2 linked regions of the Macaca fascicularis genome follow. The protein of the gene in region 2 purifies or fractionates together with the protein of the main gene of each other region. This does not show direct contact. Links are inferred from orthologs where the notes say so. Each region holds a gene or a part of one and is shown on either strand. Other genes may lie near its edges. The genes, in order: UBTF and SIRT7.

Evidence for each region.
Region 1: the proteins of SIRT7 (region 2) and UBTF purify together in Homo sapiens (affinity purification with western blotting; 3 studies listed by BioGRID, with this or other methods). This does not show direct contact. The link is inferred for Macaca fascicularis from reciprocal best matches to the Homo sapiens genes SIRT7 and UBTF.

What each region holds. Positions count from the first base shown.
Region 1 is NC_088390.1:65,266,052-65,275,529, forward strand, and holds part of UBTF (nucleolar transcription factor 1), read right to left. Parts: intron 8,610-9,478; coding exon 8,434-8,609; intron 7,832-8,433; coding exon 7,748-7,831; intron 7,644-7,747; coding exon 7,488-7,643; intron 5,121-7,487; coding exon 5,056-5,120; intron 4,778-5,055; coding exon 4,657-4,777; intron 4,298-4,656; coding exon 4,187-4,297; intron 3,851-4,186; coding exon 3,717-3,850; intron 3,592-3,716; coding exon 3,450-3,591; intron 3,176-3,449; coding exon 3,134-3,175; intron 3,042-3,133; coding exon 2,928-3,041; intron 2,838-2,927; coding exon 2,682-2,837; intron 2,354-2,681; coding exon 2,198-2,353; intron 2,117-2,197; coding exon 2,006-2,116; intron 1,617-2,005; coding exon 1,528-1,616; intron 1,424-1,527; coding exon 1,234-1,423; intron 1-1,233. UniProt on the Homo sapiens protein: Recognizes the ribosomal RNA gene promoter and activates transcription mediated by RNA polymerase I (Pol I) through cooperative interactions with the transcription factor SL1/TIF-IB complex.
Region 2 is NC_088390.1:88,292,281-88,302,503, forward strand, and holds the start of SIRT7 (NAD-dependent protein deacetylase sirtuin-7), read right to left. Parts: upstream 6,401-10,223; 5' UTR 6,365-6,400; coding exon 6,272-6,364; intron 6,201-6,271; coding exon 6,063-6,200; intron 5,951-6,062; coding exon 5,846-5,950; exon of another isoform or gene 5,002-5,845; intron 4,099-5,001; exon of another isoform or gene 3,418-4,098; coding exon of another isoform or gene 3,295-3,417; coding exon 3,224-3,294; intron 3,126-3,223; coding exon 3,053-3,125; intron 2,344-3,052; coding exon 2,245-2,343; intron 2,172-2,244; coding exon 1,935-2,171; intron 1,809-1,934; coding exon 1,728-1,808; intron 1,524-1,727; coding exon 1,417-1,523; intron 937-1,416; exon of another isoform or gene 850-936; intron 253-849; coding exon 54-252; 3' UTR 1-53. UniProt on the Homo sapiens protein: NAD-dependent protein-lysine deacylase that can act both as a deacetylase or deacylase (desuccinylase, depropionylase, deglutarylase and dedecanoylase), depending on the context. Specifically mediates deacetylation of histone H3 at 'Lys-18' (H3K18Ac).

The sequences.
Region 1 (9,478 bases), about 23 Mb from region 2:
GTCACCCAGGCTGGAGTGCAGTGGCACAATCTCAGCTCACGACTTGGCCTTCTCAGGCTCAAGTGAGCCTTCCAACTCAGCCTCCAGAGTAGCTGGGACTACAGGTGTGTGCCACCACACCATGCTACCTTATAATCATTTTTGTAGAGACAGCAGTCTCACTATGTTGCCCAGGATGGTCTTGAACTCCTGGCCTCAAGTGATCCTTCATACCTTGGGCTCCCAAAGTGCTAGGATTACAAGCGTGAGCCACTGCACTGGCCCAAGCTCTAGTATTTCTGCTTCTGATGCCCAGAGTCCTTCTATAAACCACTAAGACTGTTGGTTTTCACATTCACCCTATTGCTCTACACAAATGGAAGCTCCTATCAGAGTCTTCCTCACTCTTCCTCACTCCAAAGAAGTGCCCCTGTGATAAGTCAGCCTGGCATCATCAACCACACCCCAACATCAAACCCTTGAGCCACTGATGAGGCAGTGGGGCTCGCCAAGCTCCTGAAACAGCAAATCCCCACAATCTTCCTGGGTCCTTGGCCAATGTGCCTTGGTGAGTGGGAAGGACACAGGTGATTCCCTCCACTTTTCAGATCTGACTACTCACCCAAAGCACAGAGGGGAAGCACAAAGGCCAGCAGTCTAGGAGAGGTCCCATGGTCCCAGATAGGGGAGGAAAAGGCAGTCTGATTTGGATTCTTCAACTTACTGTGTGACCTTGGACAAGTTACTTAACCTCTCTGAACCTTGGTTTCCTTATTTTTAAAAGGGTGATAGTGGCTGGGGACGGTGGCTCAAGCCTGTAATCCTAGTGCTTTGGGAGGCCAAGGTAGGCGGATCACATGAGGTCAGGAGTTCAAGACCAGCCTGCCCAACATACGGTGAAACCCCATCTCTACTAAAAATACAAAAATTAGCTAGGTGTGGTGGTGTGGTGCCTGTCTGTAGCCCCAGCTACTCTGGAGCTGTGGAAGGAGGATCGCTTGAACCTGGGAGGTGGAGGTTGCAGTGAGCCGAGATCACACCACTGTACTCCAGCCTGTGCAAGAGAGCAAGACTCTGTCTCAAAATATAAAAACAAAAGGGTGATAGTAACCGTTATCCTGCAGGATTGCGAGGGCATGGAATGAAATCATGAATGAGACCAGCCAGCACAAGTGGGTGGGTGGGCCAGGCTGGGCTGGTGCTGGCTTAGTCTGATGCCTCCCTGTTCCTTTCAAGGGCCCCTTGCTCTCTCACCTTGACCCAGAGGTCCAGATGCACCTTGTACTGCTTTTGCTGCTCCTCGGCCAGCTTTTTGTAGTGCTCCTTCTGGCTCTGGGAGATGCGCTGCCAGCGGCTGCCTATTTCCACCATGCGCTCCTTCAGCGGCAGGTGGTTCAGCTCCCCATTGGACAGCAGCTCCTGGGAGAACTTCTGGTAACCGTTCCTGGAAGGTGGGGGTGGTACAAGGAGGGTCAGGACCCCAACAAAGCAGCCCTCCAGCCCTGACCCTCCCCCACCTCCAGGGCAGGCTCCAGCCCCCAGGCTCACATGGGAGGCTTCTTGGGTTCTCCCTGGAATTTCATCTTCTTAGAAGAATTTGTAGCAGCTGGAGGTGCCCGCATCTCACTCAGCTCTCTCTGGAAGGAGAAAGGTCACATTCACCCCCCAGTCCCACCCCCAAAATACTGTTGCCTTCTGCCCCATGCCATCAGCACCTTAGCTGGCTGCCTTTTTCTGTGCTGGGGAGGAAAAACAGGTAGAGCTAGTGAGCAACCTCCTAACAGCTCACATCTGTAGCAGGCACCACAGTTTACAAGTGCTTTCACAACTGCTCGTGTCCCCCGAGTCAGCCTGGAGGCTAGCAATGTCACCCCCACCTTACTGATGAGAGACAGGGGTTCAGAGAAGGAAGCTGAGGCTTGCTGAGGGTCACAGACCAAGACTGGGCCTTCTTGCTCAGAGAGGCTCACCCAAAGGGGAGTGCTCGAGCTTTCAACAAATGGGGTGGCCCCAGCCCCATTCCTACCTCGTATCGCTTTTGGTCTTCGGCTGCCTTCTTAATCCACATCAGTTTCTCCTTCTTTTCCATGTTATTCCAGGTCATTTCCATGGCTTTCAAGGCCTTCACCCGGTCATTCTGAGGACCAACAAGGGTATCAGCCCTGGGAGGGGTCACCCGGGGCTGGAGGCTGCAGTACTACCTCTTCCCACCCGTCACCTTGAAGCGGGCCAGGTAGTCGCCGATGACACTCTGTTGCCAGATCTCCTCAGCTCTCTTGGGGGACTCGGGCAGCTTGCCCCTTTCCTCGCGCTCCCCGCCGGGCTTCCTCTCTGACTGAGCCTTGAGCGCCGCCTCCCGGGCCTTGTACTTGGCCTGCGGGGATGGCCCGGGCGTCAGCCTTCCACCCACCCCCAGGGGGCGCGCGCTCCCCGCGCAGCAGCTCAGGCGCACCCGCCAGCAGGCAGAGGCGTGGGCTGGTGCAGATGTCTCCCGCCTGGGGCTCGCCCCCGCCTGGCCCGCAGCGCTCAGCTGACAGCTTCCCGCCTTCCGGCTGCTGGGCGCCGGCCCCACGTCCCAGCCCAGGCACCGCGTGGCTCAGGCTGGCTGAGGCGGCCAGGGGCGAGGTGGCGCGGCCCGCCAAGGGGAGGAGGGGGCCCTGGCAGCCCCGCTGAGGGCACGGCGCTCCGCCAGGCAGCCTGACCTTCTTCTTCTCAGACAGGTCGTTCCACATTCGGGCCAGCAGGCGGGTCAGCTCGCTCTCGGAGAGCTCAGGCCGCTCCTCCTGCAGCTGCCGCCGCTTCTCCTCCGAGAAGATGAACATGGCCGACACGGGCCGCTTGGGCTTCTCGGAGCCGCCCTGTCCAGGTGCAGAGGGTCGGGGTCCGTGGTGCTGCCAGGGAGCCCAGTCTTGCCCACCCCCGCCTGCGCGGCCGCACCCTCTGCCCACCTTGCCCCCTTCCTGGGCTGGCTTCTTGGAGGCGGGGCTGGTGGCCTGCTTCTTGTTGATGTTCAGCATCTTCTCCTCCCCCAGGACCCGCTGCTGCTCCTCCTCAGGCAGGCTCTGGAGAGGAAAGAGGGGCACAGGGCTCACGAGGGCTCTGCCTGCCAAGCCCCAGTCCTCTCTGCCCACTGCCCTACCGGAGGAACACTTACCTCCAGGAAACGGAGCAGCTCCACCTCGTAATCTTTCTTTTTCTGGGAAAGTGAGTGGAGTCAGGATCATTCTGGTGACAGTGTCACCACAGACCCTGCAGTACTCAGAGGACAGTGACCTTCAGTGGGCCTCCAGAGCCTGGGTGTGGGCTGGACTCCCTGCCTGGATGGGCTCAGTTGCTAAGCCCAGCCCAGCCCCACACCGAATTGGAGGCAAGTACCCAAGGCACACGCCACCAGGGACTGACTAGCCCAAGATGGGATCAGACCTCATGCTTCAAAACCCCAAGGCAGGGTGGCCCCTGCCACAGCTCACCTGGTCACACTTCTTGTGATAGGCGTCCTTCTCCTTCTGGGACAGCAGCTTCCACTGCTGGCTGCACAGCACCATGCGCTCCGTGCTGGGCACGTCCTTCATGTTGGCCATGAGCTCTGCGCAGTACAGCGAGTAGCTGTTCCTATCAGAGCCATGGGGAGAGAGGCGCAGCCCGTGAGCAAGCAGGACAGCAGGCCGCCTCACCCGTAGAGCCCAGCCCAACTTCCCAGCTGCCCACTCGCCCACCCACCCCAGGGCAGCACTCACGGAGGTGGCTTAGTGGGTCGCCCATCAAACTTGTCCTTGAGCTGGCGTTCAGCTTTGGTGAGGGTGGACTTGGTGATACCCTCCTCACTGATGTTCAGCTCTGGGTGCTTCTGGATATAGTCTCTCATGATCTCCTGCAGAGCCAGGTGGGGGGATGGAGGGCAATGGGGTGTGGGGTTAGCTGCGGCAGGGGCACGGGGAGAGCCGCTGGGGAGGGCAGGCAGGGAGCAAAGCTGGGAATGGCTGCGCGTCAATGGTGTCACATGAGACATGGTGCCCTGCCCTGCCCTAGCCTGAGATCTCATAGGGGTGGGGGGTGGGGAAGGTAGGGGCAGAGGTGAGGGGCCCAGAAGGCCCCTCCCTCAACAGAGGATGGGGAGTGACACCTCCCGCAGAGTGCGGTGGCCACGGAGTCAGAGGGCAGAGGCTCGTGAAGAGCCGGACAGGGAGGAGCGCAGCGGAAGCCTAACCTCGTACTCCTTCCGCTGCTCCAGGGCCTTATGAATCCATTTCAGCCTCTTTTTGTCCGAGAGCTGAGACCACTGCTTCCCCAGGGAGTCCTTCACCTCCTTCGTAGTGGCCTGCAAACCAAAAGCCGTCAGACACGCACAGGCAGCCAGGGGCAGGGGGAGGGGGAGGGGGGAAGGGGGCACAGATGCCCCCGCCCCCTCAGGCCATGGGAGGTCACATCAGTGTCCCCCACAGGCCAGGAGGGGAAGGCGGAGAGGCGGCAATCCCGCCTAGGTGCAAGGGGACTGGCTCATACACGCACGCACGCACACGCTCGCACGCCAGCTGGCCCGGGCCCTGTCCATGCAGCCCACCCCTGGGGAGGGGCCTCCTCTCCTGCTCCCCTGCACCGTGCCCGGCCGACCTGGTGCGGCTCCCCCCTGGCCACCGCCGTGCATCCTCCATCCCCAGCCCTTGGCCGGACACTCACATCTGGCCGCACTTTGAGATACACCTTCTTCTCGTGGGTGTACCACAGCTGCTGGGGGGTTTTGGGCTTCTCTGGGATGTCCGATTTCTTGGCATTCTGGATTAGGTCGGGGTGATCCTCCCTAGCCAGGACATGGGGAGCAAGGATCAGCAGGGGACGCTGTCAGGGCAGACCCAAGCTAGCTGCCCCACCCACCAAGCCTCCTGGGCCTTTCAGCTGGGGCTTAGTGGGACAGTGGCTGCCTGCCTGTCCCTGCCCCTGAGCATGACACACTAGGGCTCACATGTGACCCATCCTCTTCCATGCCTCAGAGATGGCAAACTCCAGGCTCTGGCCAGGGTTAGCCTATTCTGCTGCCCCCAGTTCCCCATAGCCCTCCTCTGGGCTCCACTGCCTTACCTGAATCGGGCCAGGTTTCGCTCGAACTCCTGTTTCTCTCTCTGGAAGTCCTGAATATATTTCATCTGGGGGGAGGAGGGGATAGGGTCACCCAGGACCCAAGGGTATCTTGCCCTGAGCTATGAAGGCTACCCAGGCCCCTCCTCGCTGGCTCTTCTGCCTCCCACGCTGTGATGCAGGGAGTGGAGGCTGGTGCCCTGCCCGCCTCCCGGCGGGACTCACCACAGAGCAGACCTGCTGGCTTCTACCACAGATGGTGGGAGCTGCAGGGGCTGCCCAGACACTGAATCCTATATCCTATTCTCTCCTTCTGAGCGAGAGTCCCAGAAGGGGGCCATGGCATTACCCACAGTCACACAGTGCGTGGTGGCAGCGCTGAGGCTCCCCCACTCGTTTCTCCAATACCACAGAACTCTCACAGTGGAGTCGGGTGCAGGCCTTGCTCCCTCTTCTCACTGTCTGAGGCAGCTGACATTAGTCTGGCCCCTTGGAGGTGGCCTCTACATAGGGCCAGGGCTGGGCTGAGTCCTATTTCCAAGGCATGAAGGGAGATTGTGTGGAGGGGAACCCAGAGTAAGTTCTTCCAATACAAGTCACAGCCAGCTGCCCTGCACCTTCCCGCCTATTTCTGACACCATTACCTTCTTCCCTTTCTCTAGGATCCCAGCTGTCTGTCCCCTCCAGCCCTCCCTCCCTCAGCCCACTCATTCTCTCCCACCACTTGGCTTCCCTTCCCTTCATCACCCCCTTTTTGGCCTCCCCACTGCCTTCCCACCCTCACCTCACTCCCTCCCTGCATCTTTCCCCACTTCTGCAAAGTCTCCCTCTTGTTCCTCCTTTCCAATGTGTCTCTTTCTCTTCATCAACCTCCTCTCTTGGCTGCCACGCAATGTCCATCTCTTCTTTCATCCTCGCAGGCTCACAAGAGTGGCACTGGCAGGTGCCAGGAGCTCATGGCAATTGAGCCCAACCCGCCTCTTATAGAAGCACCAGACAGAGAGAGGCAGCGCTCCTCTCCCATAGTTCCCACAGAAAACCAGAAGCAGAGCTCAGCCTCCTCTTCTCCAATCTCAGTCCTCCTCAGACAAAACAGTTTTAGAGCTGGAGAACACCACACAGACCTGGCTCACCTCACATAAGGACCAGGCCCAGAGAAGTAAAATGACTTACCAAAGGCCCCATACACAGCGATTCAGTGGCAGAGCCAGGAGAACAGGCCCAAGTCTTGTGCCCCCCAGGACAGCACCTCATCCACTCTACCAGTTTATTCTGGCCTTCCCTGACTCTGACTCTAGAGCTTGGCCTCTCCCTCCCATCCCATGAGTGTCTGGGTGTGTGCAGTCAACTGTCCAACATCCTTATCAAAAGAGTCAACAACAGTTCCAGCAATCCATACCCCTGCTCTGCTTGGGCAGTGGTTGCAGACAGCTGGCTTTTTTGGGTACAGCACCAAGGGCATGTCAGTCTGCAGCCAGGGCATGCCAACCAGGAAAAAGGGCTACTAATAGCATAGCGGCGGCTGGTGCCACCTTTTGAGAACTGGCTGTGTGTGGCTTTGTTTCCTCTCCAAGCAGATGTGCTCCTTGTCTTTCCCGCTGCCCTTCCCCATCTATCCCTGGCTCTGTCTCCTTGTCCAGTGTCTCTTGTGTCCCCTGTCCCCATCCCATCTTCCTCATGTCCCATCTGCAGGGCTCCTCCAATGTTTTGCTGCCTTTCTCTGGGAGGGACCTTCTGAGCTCTGTGCTGCAGTCCTGCCTGGGAGGCTTGGGCAACCCTCCAACCAGGGTTAATGCTTTGATGGTCTGGGACAGTGCCCGACCTCTGCAAGGAACAGTATGAGGCCAGGAGGGACAATGTGTGTCCTTGAGTGAACATGTGTGTGTGGAGAAGGAAGTGCACTTCACAGGTGGACATGGCAGTAACAGCACTGGACTGGGACTCTGGGGCACTAAATCCTGCTCTAGTATCAATAGTTGTGTCACCTAGGACACTTAACCCTCCTGCACCTCAGTTCCTTGCCCACAAAACTGGGATAACCTTTTCCTGGGGTTACCTTCATGAAGACATCGCAAGTATCAGATGAGACCATGACGGGAAACGTCATAGAGAGTGAAGAAGTGCTGCGCAGCCTAACAGTGAGGATGGGTGTATGGGGGAGAGAGCCTGATGAAACAGAATGCTGTGGGTTTTCTGTAGGGGGAAAGGTTGGTCTGAGCATCTGCTGTCTGAGCATCTGTGGTGGTGCCTGTGCCTGAACATGTGTGGGCCGAGGAAGGGGCGATCAGGTGTGCCTGCCCAGGACCTACTCTGCTGTGCTGACTCACCCTCGTCCCTGATGCCAGGTCTCTCCAAGGCCTACCTCCAACCGACCCACACCACACCAGCTGCTCCCAGCCTCTCCCCTCCTCCCACCTTAACTCTCCTCCCCCCACCTTCTTCTTCTCCGGAAGCTCCTTGTATTTCTTGGACAGAATCTTGGTTAGGTCCAGGTTGCTCATCTCAGGGTGGAGTTTCGCATACTTGGCCCGCTTCTCCATGAAGAAGCGGAAATAAGGGGTCAGGGGCTTCTTTGGGAAGTCTGGGTGTTTCTGGAAGAAGGGACAAGGAACAAGGACACAATGGAGGTCAAATACCATCCGTTCTTTGGATCTTTCCTCCCCTACCCCTCATGCTCCTCCTTCTAGTAACTCACCTTCAGTTTTTTGCCTTTGTAAGGATTTTTAACATGTTCCTGAGCATCGAGGATCAATTCTGTCAATGTACGGAACTTCCTCACCTGGAAGAAGAGGGGCGGGAGGAAGGGGAAGTTGGGAAAAGGAAAATGCCACACAGTAGCATACCCCCATCTTATAATGGGTCTCTTCTACTCTTTACTAGACTAAATTTACCAAAGAAGAGCAGAGGCCAACAGCCAAATGAAGCAGACTAAATTTACCAAAGAAGAGCAGAGGCCAACAGCCAAATGAAGCAGGCACCCTGACACCCAGGCACTGGCCCATGCCTACCACAGAGGCCCAGGCAGTCAGTACACACCAAAGGCCAGCAACAAAGGGACTACCTGACCTCAACCTGGTTGTCCATGCCAGCACCTCCTTCAATCTCAGCATGTTAGCACCTCTGTCAATCTCAGCACAGCTCAGGCTGTTCGGCTCAAGACCACCCAGATAGAAAGTGGCATAACTTTAAGCCAGTGCTGTCAACCGTGCCACCTCCCAAAATGCAAAGGGGCAGGTAGAGAGCTAACGTGCGACCACATGAACGCCTCTCCTGGTGTCTTTCCTTCCTGTTTACAGCCTGTTTCACTTCCCCTACCACGGCTGAGGAGGGGGTAATGTTTGTATATGTATGTGCGTGTGTCAGAAAGGGGGGATCAGTTACCTCGTTAGAAATCTCCACCCATTTGAGCTTGCACATGTCTCCAGAAAAGTCCTTAAATGCAACTTTTTCCCAGTCCATATGTGATTCGGTGGTTTTGAATTTGGAGCTGTCATTGGATGGAAGGTTGTTCTTCATGCATTCCAGCAAAGTCAGCATGTCTTCCTGGGACCAACGGTCTGGTGAAGGGTAACAGAGGCCATCATGCCTGGCTCATGCTATCCCCCAAATCTGTTCCCCAGTTCTTGAGTGCTCAACTCTTCCTCCCTAGGGCATCCCAGCCCCTGATTGCTTCCCATCTGAAGGCAGAGACAAGATATGGCTCAGCCCTAAGGAAACTGTGGCCATACTGGATGAGGGCAGGGACTCCAGTCCAGACCATGCTATACCTAGAAAGCCAGGCTCAAACTCAAGTCTGGCTTGCTTCAAAGCTATTATCATTTCTACTGTGCCAAGCTGCAACAGGCAGCTATTTGCTATAAGGGGAAGAGGGGTGGAAATGAAGGTACAGTGATTCAGGACTTTGTGGGAAATGAGATAGCTTGTCAGAGGAGGGAAGCAAGGAGGCATTGTATCTAAATGTGCTGCCAAGTTCAAGTTCTGAGTGGATATTCTAAATGTGCAAGGACTGAGGATGGGGTGTGGGCAGTAGGGAAAATTCATGCACATGTTTCTCCTGCACAGCTGGAGACTGATGTTAGAGATACCCACTATCCCCTGGCCCCTCAAGGCAGATCAAGGGAGAATTTCTGGCAAATAAGAAAAAAGAAACAGAAACAGAAGCAGGATACAGGGCAACTCTGAGGCAAAGTAGGCAGGTGCACAAAAGCTCTCAGGGCCCTGATCCAGGGAGAACCCCCAGAATTACAAGCTGTCTTGTCAGCCCAACTCCCCAGGGAAGCAAGACCAGGTCTGGACCAGTTATTTTCAGCCACTGAAATGCAGCCCCAGAGAGCTCTAGGCCTCTGTGGATGGGCTGGGAGAATAGTCACCCAAGGCCAGAAGTCAAAAGGGCTCTCCATTTTCATTTGCATCTCGTAACCTAGGC
Region 2 (10,223 bases):
ACCGTGACGCTGGCCATCTGCAAAGTGCCAACTGTTCTTCATCGAGCGCCAGGTTACGTCACTTTCTTCTTTTTTGTGCGTTTTGTGCAGCCCCTGCCAAACCAGCCCCCTAGGATGGGGGCCGAGCTAAGCGGTGCACCCCGGTCCCCAGGCGGGGCTTCCTCTCTGCTTCTGCACAGCGACTTCCGACTGTGGCTGCCTTCTTCGCCAGCACGCAGGGGAGTCGCCAGTGAGAAAATGGGATCCTGCCACCTGCCAAAAAGGGAAAGCGGCATCAGGCGGGCCTGGGAGCCTCTCACAGCCACACCCGCCCCAGTTCGGGAAAGCTGCCTGCGGTCCCTGCCTTCCCATCCCGTTCCCTCCCCTGTGTCCACTGCGGCTGGGCTCTGGTTGGTAGCAGCTTCATTGTTATCAAGCTGCAGAACGGATGCGGGAGAGGTCACCTCTTAGGTGGTGACTCAAAGGTCAGCACCCACACTAGCTTGGTCTCCTCAGAACTCCGTGTCCTCGTCCACCACTGAGCAGCGTGCACACACAGGACAGGGCAGCAGTGGCCCCAGGGCTGCCTCCGTCTCCAGGGATGAGTCACTAGCAACTCTGGGCCCCACCTTCCATTTGTACCGCCAGGGGCAGGTGGACCAGACCCTCTCCCCCTTCCCAGCTGACTAGGGAGGCGTGGCCTACAGACGACACCGTGAAGAAAGCATGTGTCTGACTGAGATGCAGAACCACAGATCATAACTTAAGATACAGATACGCACTGATAAGGAAAATGAGCTAAATTAATGTAAAAAAAAAAAATACAGTACACGATAGCTCACATCACAGAACACCACACACATAACATACAAGAAGTGCCAGGCCCAGAAGGTGAAGGGATCCTTAATTTCTTGAACCCTTTGATTAAAAGAAGTTATTGATTTCCCCTATAAGACCCTGAAAATTCACAGAGAAAGAGAGTGTAAACTTTTTACTCAATACATACACCAAGTCTAAATTATCACAAATTCTGTATTAAGGCACAGTCTGTTTAAGCTTTCCCAAAGTACGCCAACTCCCAAAACCAAGCACACAGATTCTGTCTGACCAGAGCTGCCAAGTGCTCGTCCCCTCGAGATGCTTCCCACCAGGCATCTTGAAGAGCTCCACGGGGAGGCCTGGAGCAGGAGCACGTGGGCAGAATCCCTCTCCCCGCGGGGACTGTGTGTGCCACATCAGCCAGGGCAGGAGTGGCACACGCAGGGTCTCCGCGAACCACTGAGGTCAGGCCCTCTGGAGACCACCACGCTTCAGTCATGCCTCAGACACCGCTGCAAACACCTCAGAGCTTCCTCCACGCTCAGCTCACGAGAGAAGACAGACACGGCCCAGCACACAGAGGTGCAGGGAAGCGGGCTGCTGCAATGGTCTACTCACCTGCTATAGGCGGGGATCTCCAAGCCCAGCTCGGCCATGAGGAGCCGCATGACATCATCACACTTCCCGTGTAGCTTCAGGGCAGCCCAGTCATCCTTTGGGGTCCACTGAGGACAGGGAAAGCCAAGTGAGAGTAAGAGCAGCCCGACCATTCCTGGTGGCCTGTCAGCCTCGGCCCGTGGGCTCGGTCAGTGCTCCCTGAGCACCCACGGGGGCCCTATCAGACTGCCCTGGTGCATGGGTGTGGGGTGTCTCCAGCTCTGCATTCTAAGACCCAGGTCTAAGGATGTGACTCTCAGAACCCAAGTTACCTGCAAGTTCACAATGTAGAGTTTCGGCCGCCGGCTAGGGGGCTTGGTCATGCACCAGAGGCGTGGGTACTTCTTTAGAACCTGCGGAAACAGACAGACAGACACAGCACACACACAGGGGACAAGTCTGTAAAGTGCTGGGCAACAGAGCTGGACACCCTCGGGCAGGCGGGGGCTCGGCTCATTCCTGGTATCATCAGCACGTACCTTCAGGCTGGACCCTAGACACAGGATGGTGTCTGCTCTGCTGGCAGCCTCAGTCGCTGCTTCCCAGTTCAGAGGCTGCCCCAACGTCCCCCTCTCTCCAAAGTGCACAATGGTGTCCCGGAGCTGGGTCCCACACTTGTGGCAGGTCCGGCCTGTCTGGTGTCTGTGGAGGGCGGTGCGTTCCGTCACATCGAACACTCGCACGTACTCCCTGTTGGGAATGCAGGAGGTGCAGACCTGGAGGCAAGAGGGCACAGTGAGTGGGACCCGCCTGCCCATGGAGACCCCGGGTCACCGCAGGACTGCTCACTTCAATGTACATGTTCCCGTGGAGCTCTGAGATGGCCGTGCGCGGCAGCCCACTTCTCAGGTGGAGCCCGTCACAGTTCTGAGACACCACATGCTGCACCTGGAAGGCAGACGGGTGGCGACGGCGAGGTCAGTACTCAGCCACAGCGAGGCTGTTATGAGCCCAGCCAGTGGCTCCCAAGACCAGGGGTAGCTCCAACCCCGCAGAGAGCCTTAGAAAGTAAAACACACAACAGGTCCAACCACCAGGACTCAAGAGGGCCTGTGGTGGGGAGGGGCTATGTCCCTCCTCCAGCCCTGATGCACCTGGAGTGGCTGGGAGGGCAAGACGCTGCACCGTCAAGGCAAGGATGGGAAGTGGCTCAGGGCTTTGGCAAGGGCCACTCCACCCCGGATCCATGCTCTCTTGGGTCATGACATTTCAGGTGCCTCGGGACCTAGGCAGGTCAACCCCTACACCCCTTGGTTGAGGGTGTTCAGCAGAAGGTCCCCAGAGATGTCCTATAAGCCTCCCCTGTAACTAGGATGGCTTCTGAGGTCCACAGAAAAATGCAATGGAATCACAAAGGGGAAAGACCACCAGCAGCTCTGGGGCTGAGGCTGGCTGTGGATGGGATGGTTCCAGAGGGGGTGCTCCCCTTTTGTCCTGGAGAGGAAGCATGGGAGGATCAAATCTGGGGCCTAACCCACTTGGTGGGTGCTCATGATGGGAGTCAACTGGCAGACGGAGGGAGAATGCAGTTGCCCACTGCGCACCAAGGTGCTCTGCCTGGTCCCAGGCAAGTGTACCAGCCACCCAGGGTTCTTACCAGCTTCTGCTCATGCAAACGGGTGATGCTCATGTGGGTGAGGGTTGGCTCGGCCTCACTCAGGTCAGCGGCACTGCCAGGCAGAAAGGAAGGCAAGGTGAGGACAGCCGGAGCTCAGGCCCATGCTGCCTCTGCTCAGCCTATATGGGAGGCCGCGCCTGTCCCACTTACCTCACGCTTCTCCCTTTCTGAAGCAGTGTCCACACTCCATTAGGGCCCCTGTAGTCTGGGATAGATGCTGCCTGCATGTCGAGAAAAAAAGTAAGCCAAGTAAAAAGGCACCACCGTAGGCACTGGCAGAATTCCCAGAAATGGGAAGCCATTGTCACTCCTGCCACATTCCAGGCCGGCCTGCATGTTGGCATCTGTTCATTCCACAGGCTGACCTGCCTGAGCCCATATGAAGTGCACCCCAATTCGGCTCCTCCCTTCTACCTGGACTTCTGTTTCCCGCCTGGCCTGGCTCATCCTTCCAGGCTGCACGCAGCCCTGCCTGTCCCCGGAAGCCTCTCTGGCACCGAGCACAAAGCTGGGCTCTGTGGCACATGTGTCCTCCACACCGCAGGGGAAGACTAGTCATGTTCCTAAGTGCCCCCAGGGCCGAGCCCACGGCTCACACATTTAGCAAAAGGTGAATCCCTGCTGGGCGCGGTGGCTCAAGCCTGTAATCCCAGCACTTTGGGAGGCGGAGACGGGCAGATCACGAGGTCAGGAGATCGAGACCATCCTGGCTAACACAGTGAAACCCCGTCTCTACTAAAAAATACAAAAAAAATAGCCGGGAGAGGTGGCGGGCGCCTGTAGTCCCAGCTACTCGGGAGGCTGAGGCAGGAGAATGGCGCAAACCCGGAAGGCGGAGTTTGCAGTGAGCTGAGATCCAGCCACTGCACTCCAGCCTGGGCAACAGCACGAGACTCCGTCTCAAAAAAAAAAAAAAGGTGAATCCCTAGGTGGGGGCAGGCAACTGTCTATTCTCACGTCCCAGTGCTGACTGTTCCCGCTCCACCTTAACAAAGGCAGAATAGGCGGGGCGCGGTGGCTTATGCCTGTAATCCCAGCACTGTGGGAGGCCCAGGTGGGTGGATCACAAGGTCAGGAGATCGAGACCATCCTGGCTAACATGGTGAAACCCCGTCTGTACTAAAAACACAAAAAATTAGCCAGGCGTGGTGGCGGGCACCTGTATTCCCAGCTACTTGGGAGGCTGAGGCAGGAGAATGGCGTGAACCCGGGAGGCAGAGCTTGCAGTGAGCCGAGATCGCGCCACTGCATTCCAGCCTGGGCGACAGAGCCAGACTCCGTCTCAAAACAAACAAACAAGCAAACAAACAAAAAAAGGCAGAACAACTTCTCCAGATGAGATAAGCATCTAACTTTCCAGGATTTCAATCCTGTGAAACAAACTGAGGCCAGAGAGGGCACAGAAGATATCAAGGTGCCTTCTGTTCCCTTTTGGGGACTCCTGACTCCTGCTTAAACTCAGAAAAATGCACCATCCCCCGGCAGTGGTTTGGACAGTCACATTCAAGATAGAAACCTCAGTTACACTCAGATGAAATCCACAAGCTGCATGTGCTTCTAGTTGCCATTGCAAGCTCCATAAGAGATCACATGACTGTTACATAATTACATGACTGGACTTTTTTTTTTTTCTGAGACAGAGTTTCGCTCTGTCGCCCAGGCTGGAGTACAGTGGCACGATCTAGGCTCACTGCAACCTCCGCCTTCCAGTTTCAAGTGATTCTCCTGCCTCAGCCTCCTGAGTAGCTGGGATTGCAGGTGCCTGCCACCACACCCGGCTAATTTTTGTATTTTCAGTAGAGACAGGGTTTCACCATGTTGGCCAGGCTGTTCTTGAACTACTGACCTCATGATCTGCCCACCTCAGCCTCCCAAAGTGCTGGGATTACAGGCAAGAGCCACCGCGCCCAGCGTGACTGGACTTTTACATGTGACTTGTGGAGGGAGGAGACCAAACGCCAGGGCTCCAGGTATTTGAGTCAGCAGTGCACTCCCTTTATGCATTCTTCCTGCTAAGCCTCTGCTCTTCTTTGCTTGGAGTGCCTCATTCCCACCTTCTCCTGTAAATCTCACCCATCCTTCAAGGCCCAATCAAGGCTACCTCCCACAAAAAGCCAACCCAGGTAGGTTTCCCAACTCCAAGAGCACATAGTGTGTGCCTGGGTTTGTTCTAGTGATTCAGCACAGCCAGCTTTACATTATGCTTATTTGTTCACATACCTGATTGTCACCTAAAGGCTTCCTGAGAACAGAAATCACCTGGCCTTCAGATCTGCTACGCCTACGCATGCCCAGCACTCCACACTCACCCATCGGACTAGATGGACGACGTGCCAGCTACACTTTCAAAGCTAGTGATGTCCCACAGCCCAGGATAACTTGTCAGTGAAACTTCTCAAAACACAATGCAATTCTCTTCTTCACCTGGTGTATTCCGGCTCTTACTGTGTCACTTTCTACTTATCTTCCCTCAACATGGAGAGAACACAGTGGAGAATCACGACAGCTTTGGGCTTAGCTCTGTCCACATAACCTGGGGGTGACTGCGAGCAGTCAGCTACTACAGCCCATTCGTATCTCTGCTCCTTGCCTGTTTTTAACTGGCTGTACCACAAACTAAGCGTTTAAAAAGCGTTTACCTTAGGTAAGTTTTGGTCATTTCGTGTTTCTCTAAGAAAGGGAAAAAACCTTAAAGCTGCTTTAAAGGCGAGTTTTTCGCGATTACAGGAGCGCGTACTCCGTCCTGGGGTCCGCCCCCGCCTCCCTCCCTACCGTGCTGATTCCCGCGCCTGTGTAGACGACCAAGTATTTGGCGTTCCGGACGGCGCTGGCCAGCTCCCGGACCTTCCCTCGCAGCTCCTCCGGGTCGTCGCACACCTGCCAAGACGCCAGGGTGGTCACCGCCCCGGGCCGCCCCACCCGGGACCGCCCGTCGCCCCGGCTGCTCCCGAAACCGGGGGCGCCCGCGGCCGCCGCCCGCGGAACTCGCCTCCTCCTGCCGCCGCTTCAGGCCCTCGCGCCGCCGGCTCCGGCCCTGCAGCTCCGTTACCAGGTCCGCGCTCTCGGCCAGCAGCCGGCCCTCCTCGGCGCTGCGCTCCGCCGCCGCCTTTCTCAGGATGCGCGACACCTGCGGGCAGGCGGGCGGTGAGCGGCGGCGCGGGCCGGGCATAGCCGGACCGGGGAGCGACGGCGGCGTACCTGGCGGAGGCGCTCCCTCTGCTGCTCCTCCCGCAACCTTCGGACCCGCTCCGCAGCTTTGCGTTCCGAGCGGCTCAGACCCCCGGCTGCCATCGCTCCCCTGGAGACCCGCTCTTCCGCTTCCGCCTCACACGGCAGGCCGCGCTCAGGGCGCATGCGCAAGACGGGTCCCGCCCCCACCCACCTCTTCCGGCTCCGCCCGCCGCGTCGCCCCAAAGAAGCACCTGCCAGTCTCTTTAAAAGGTTTATTGATCATATACAAAATAAAGAAAACCTTATATATCACAAACATACACTATGTACAGCAATAAATACCCGGGGGGCCAGGCCCAGTGCTGCCCCTCCTGGACAATAATTTAGCAATAAATACTGCGCAGGGCAGGGGTGGGGCACCAAGGCCACTGCCCTGCCCGAGGTCAGGCCCCTGCCAGCCCTACACGAAGTGTGAGCGCTCGGGCCTCACCCCGCATCCAAACCCCAGCCCCTCCTCACTTAGATCTTTAATAACCTCCATCCCACCCCAGCACATCCCGGGGTCTTCTCCCACACACACACAACCTCCCCTGGCTAGACCTAGGCAGGGCTGGCAGGGGGACTGATCAACTCTGCTTGGATCCACCTCTCAGTGCCAGGAGAGCAACAGGGCTGGACACGCGGGCAGCCCTTGTCCTGTTGCCAGGAGAAGGCTTTCTGTGCCCACTCCCGTTTGGTTAAAGGCTTCAGGGACTAGCAGATTGAGGGGGTGGGAGGAAGGGCAGGGATGGGACACAAGGTTGCTGGAGGGGTCAAAGCCCAACTGGGGTCACCAAGAACAGGGAGGTCTCACAGTTTATCAGGGACACACTCTAGCTCAGACTCAAGGGACACCCATGGTATCAAAGCTGCTGCTCCAGGGGCAGGGTGGAAATGTGTGGGACTGGCCCAGCAGGTACGGCACACACCCAGGACACAGGCCAGAGGCAGGACAGGCATCAGTCTCAGACATGCCCTGCCTCTGTGTGGCACTGATTATGTACTTCACTCTCCCGACCTGCTCCAAGGCCAGACAGCCAACAGGAAGGCAAAAATACACCAAAAAGAATTATTCAGTGGCTTCTGGGGGGAAAAATCGTTAATGTGTTGGTTCCTTTCACCAAACCACAGCCTAAAAAAGTAACTCACAAGATCCCAGAGCGGAAACGGTGCAGCAGGCCGCAGCTCAGACTTTCCAGATGTGGATGGGAGCTTTGGCCAAGTGGCCACTCCAGAGGGAGGCAGCAGGGACAACATGGGACCTGACCATCGTCCCAAAGCAGGCTGCAGCCGCTCAGAGCCGTGGGCCGGGCCCTGACCACCGGTCAGAAGTGTGCATGCTTATCTGAAACGTGCACCAAGAGCTGAAGCCCCAGCAACACCAGCGCCACCCAGAGCAGCAGCCAGGGGCCTCACTCTCCAGGTGAGAGGTGACTTGTCCCTGCTGGGTAGTCCTCTGAAATCTGAGTGTCCATGTTAGGATAAAGGAGGAGTTGGGGCAAAGTCAAGGTGGAAGGGAAGACATATATCACGGTTTACTTGGCGGACAAGTTTGAGAGACCTGGCCTTGGCCAAAGCCCTCGATTCGCTGTGTCAGAAAAACTGAGGTGAGAAGAGACCACCACCCTCTCAGTAGGAAAGCGGGATTAACAGAGATCAGAAGGACAGCACATTCACATCTGCACATGAACACAGCATCTACGTCAGGAAATCCAGGGGAAGGGGAAGAGGGGCAGAGTGGCTCCACAGGGCTGGCCTGACAGGGGACAGGAACACTCCCCTAGACCCAGGGAAGTCGCTCCAAATCCAAAGCTCTTGAAAGGAGGTATGGCCTCGAAACTCCAGAAGCCTCTTCTGCCAACGCACCGAGGACCTGCACCTCCCACTCAGCACCTGCACCTCCCATTCAGCACCTGCACCTCCCACTCAGCACCTGCACCTCCCATTCAGCACCTGCACCTCCCATTCACACGCGCCGACCCTTACACCCTCCTCTTCCGCACTCCCTTTGCCTCCAGGTCTGCAGCCTGGCAGAGGTGCTCAAAATGGAGGGCCACCCGCAGCCAGGACAAAAGTGGGGGCCGCACAAGGACAGGGAGCGCCTGTTTATCCCTGCTCCAAGGCAGAGCATGACGTTTTCTTTATGGATACTTATGATTCCAACTAACGCCTGGATTCTACTTAGACAAGATCAGACTGAGGGGAGGGGGATGAAGTCACTAAATGACATGAATCAACAGCCAGAATTTCCATTTTCAGGCTGACCCAGGTAGCAACAGGACTTGTCTCTGAATGCTCAAAGCAAAGAAAAGCTCATGAAGATGACAAGGGTTGATGGTACATCCCTGTTCCCATCTCATGGGCACACCAGGCCAAACTCTTAGATCAAAATCCCACCACCCACAGGGTTAAGCCCCGTCAGGCCAGTTTTTCATCTTACCAGCCCCCATTTGTGTGCTTTACAGCAGTCTGGGCCCCACAGAGAAGAAACCAGCAGCCCTGGTGAAAGGCCAAGGCTCACATGGCCAGACACGGGGCTGCAGCCTCTTGGAGGTGGGTGGGGGCACCCCTTCCCCGTCATATGCCTATAAGGAGCCTCCTGAGCCCAGCCAGGAAGGGCAGCAGCCTCTGGTGAGGAACTGGGAGCAGGAGGCAGGTTGGGCCCCCAGAGGGAGGCACCTCCAGCAGAAGCCAAGCAGCTGATCCCTGGAAGACAGATCCCAAAGGGAGGCAGAAGGCAGGCCCAAAGCCAAGAGCTGCCAGCGTGGACCAGCGGAGAAGAGGGACAAGACCGGCCCTGGAGACTGTAGCCCTTGTCTGCACTGGTGGACGCTCCCAAGACTCTGAGTGAGGCAGGGACAAGGAAGAAAGGGTTGCCCGGTGGGCCCCCAACCACTCTGCCTGGAAGCACCACCCGCAGCATGGAAAGACCTCAGGGATCAAGTAGGCGGCGAAACCTGCAGCCCACGGTGCGGGCCCCAGGGGTTCCCCGGCTGAGGCCCCACATGAAGCCTATCGGAACAAAACTGAGGCCTGAGGAAGACAGCCAGGGAACGCTTGGCCACAGCCCTGTGGCCACCCACAGTGACTCCTTGGTCCCTGCACCACCACCACCCAAGGCCAGAGGTGGTGGGTGTAGAGCAGTGTGGGGGGGCCCCAAGGGGCCCCCAGTTTCAGCTACCCGGCCACCAGATCAGCCCAAGCCCTAGACACAGATGTAGCCAAGGCTCAGTCGGGGGGGAGTGTGACAGAACCCCACGTCTCACCTCCTAGGGACCAGGAGCAGGTGGAGGGCACAGACTCGTTGAGCTCTGACGCAGCAGGTGCCACCTGGCACCCCAGCCCAGGTCCGGCAAGCCAGCAGAAGCAAAAGCACAACGAAACCCAAAAAACGAACACAGGAAAACTGACACAAGAAGTGACACCCACAGGTCGAAGGTCACCAGAAGCACCAGCACTTTACCGCTGCACAAAACCTCACCAGGCACGGACGACACCACGGCACCGGCAAGAGACGGAAGCAGGAAGGGCAGAGGAGTAAGTCACTTTCGGTACAATTGCAAAAGATATCAAAGAGGACGGCCTTCTGGTCGGCTCACGGCTTGGCTTTTTTTTTTTTGTCTTTTTTTAAACTAAGTTTTATAAATAATGTCTGATAACTCTGTGTATATAAAAACTAAACTCCAACAGCCACAAAGAGTTGTCCGTAAGTTTACAAGAAAGGGATTTTTTTTTTCTTTTTTTTTTAACTAGCAAAGTTTCTATTATACTTTCTTCCCTTTTCCATTTATATGGTCAAATGGTCTTCTTGCTTGTTTTTTTTTTTTCTAAAAGACAGTTTTATAAATACTCTGCAGCTCTTTTTTTCTTTAACTTTTAAACATATAATTAATTTAATAACTTTGTAAAAGGAACTTCTCTCTTTTAAATAAAGGGCTAT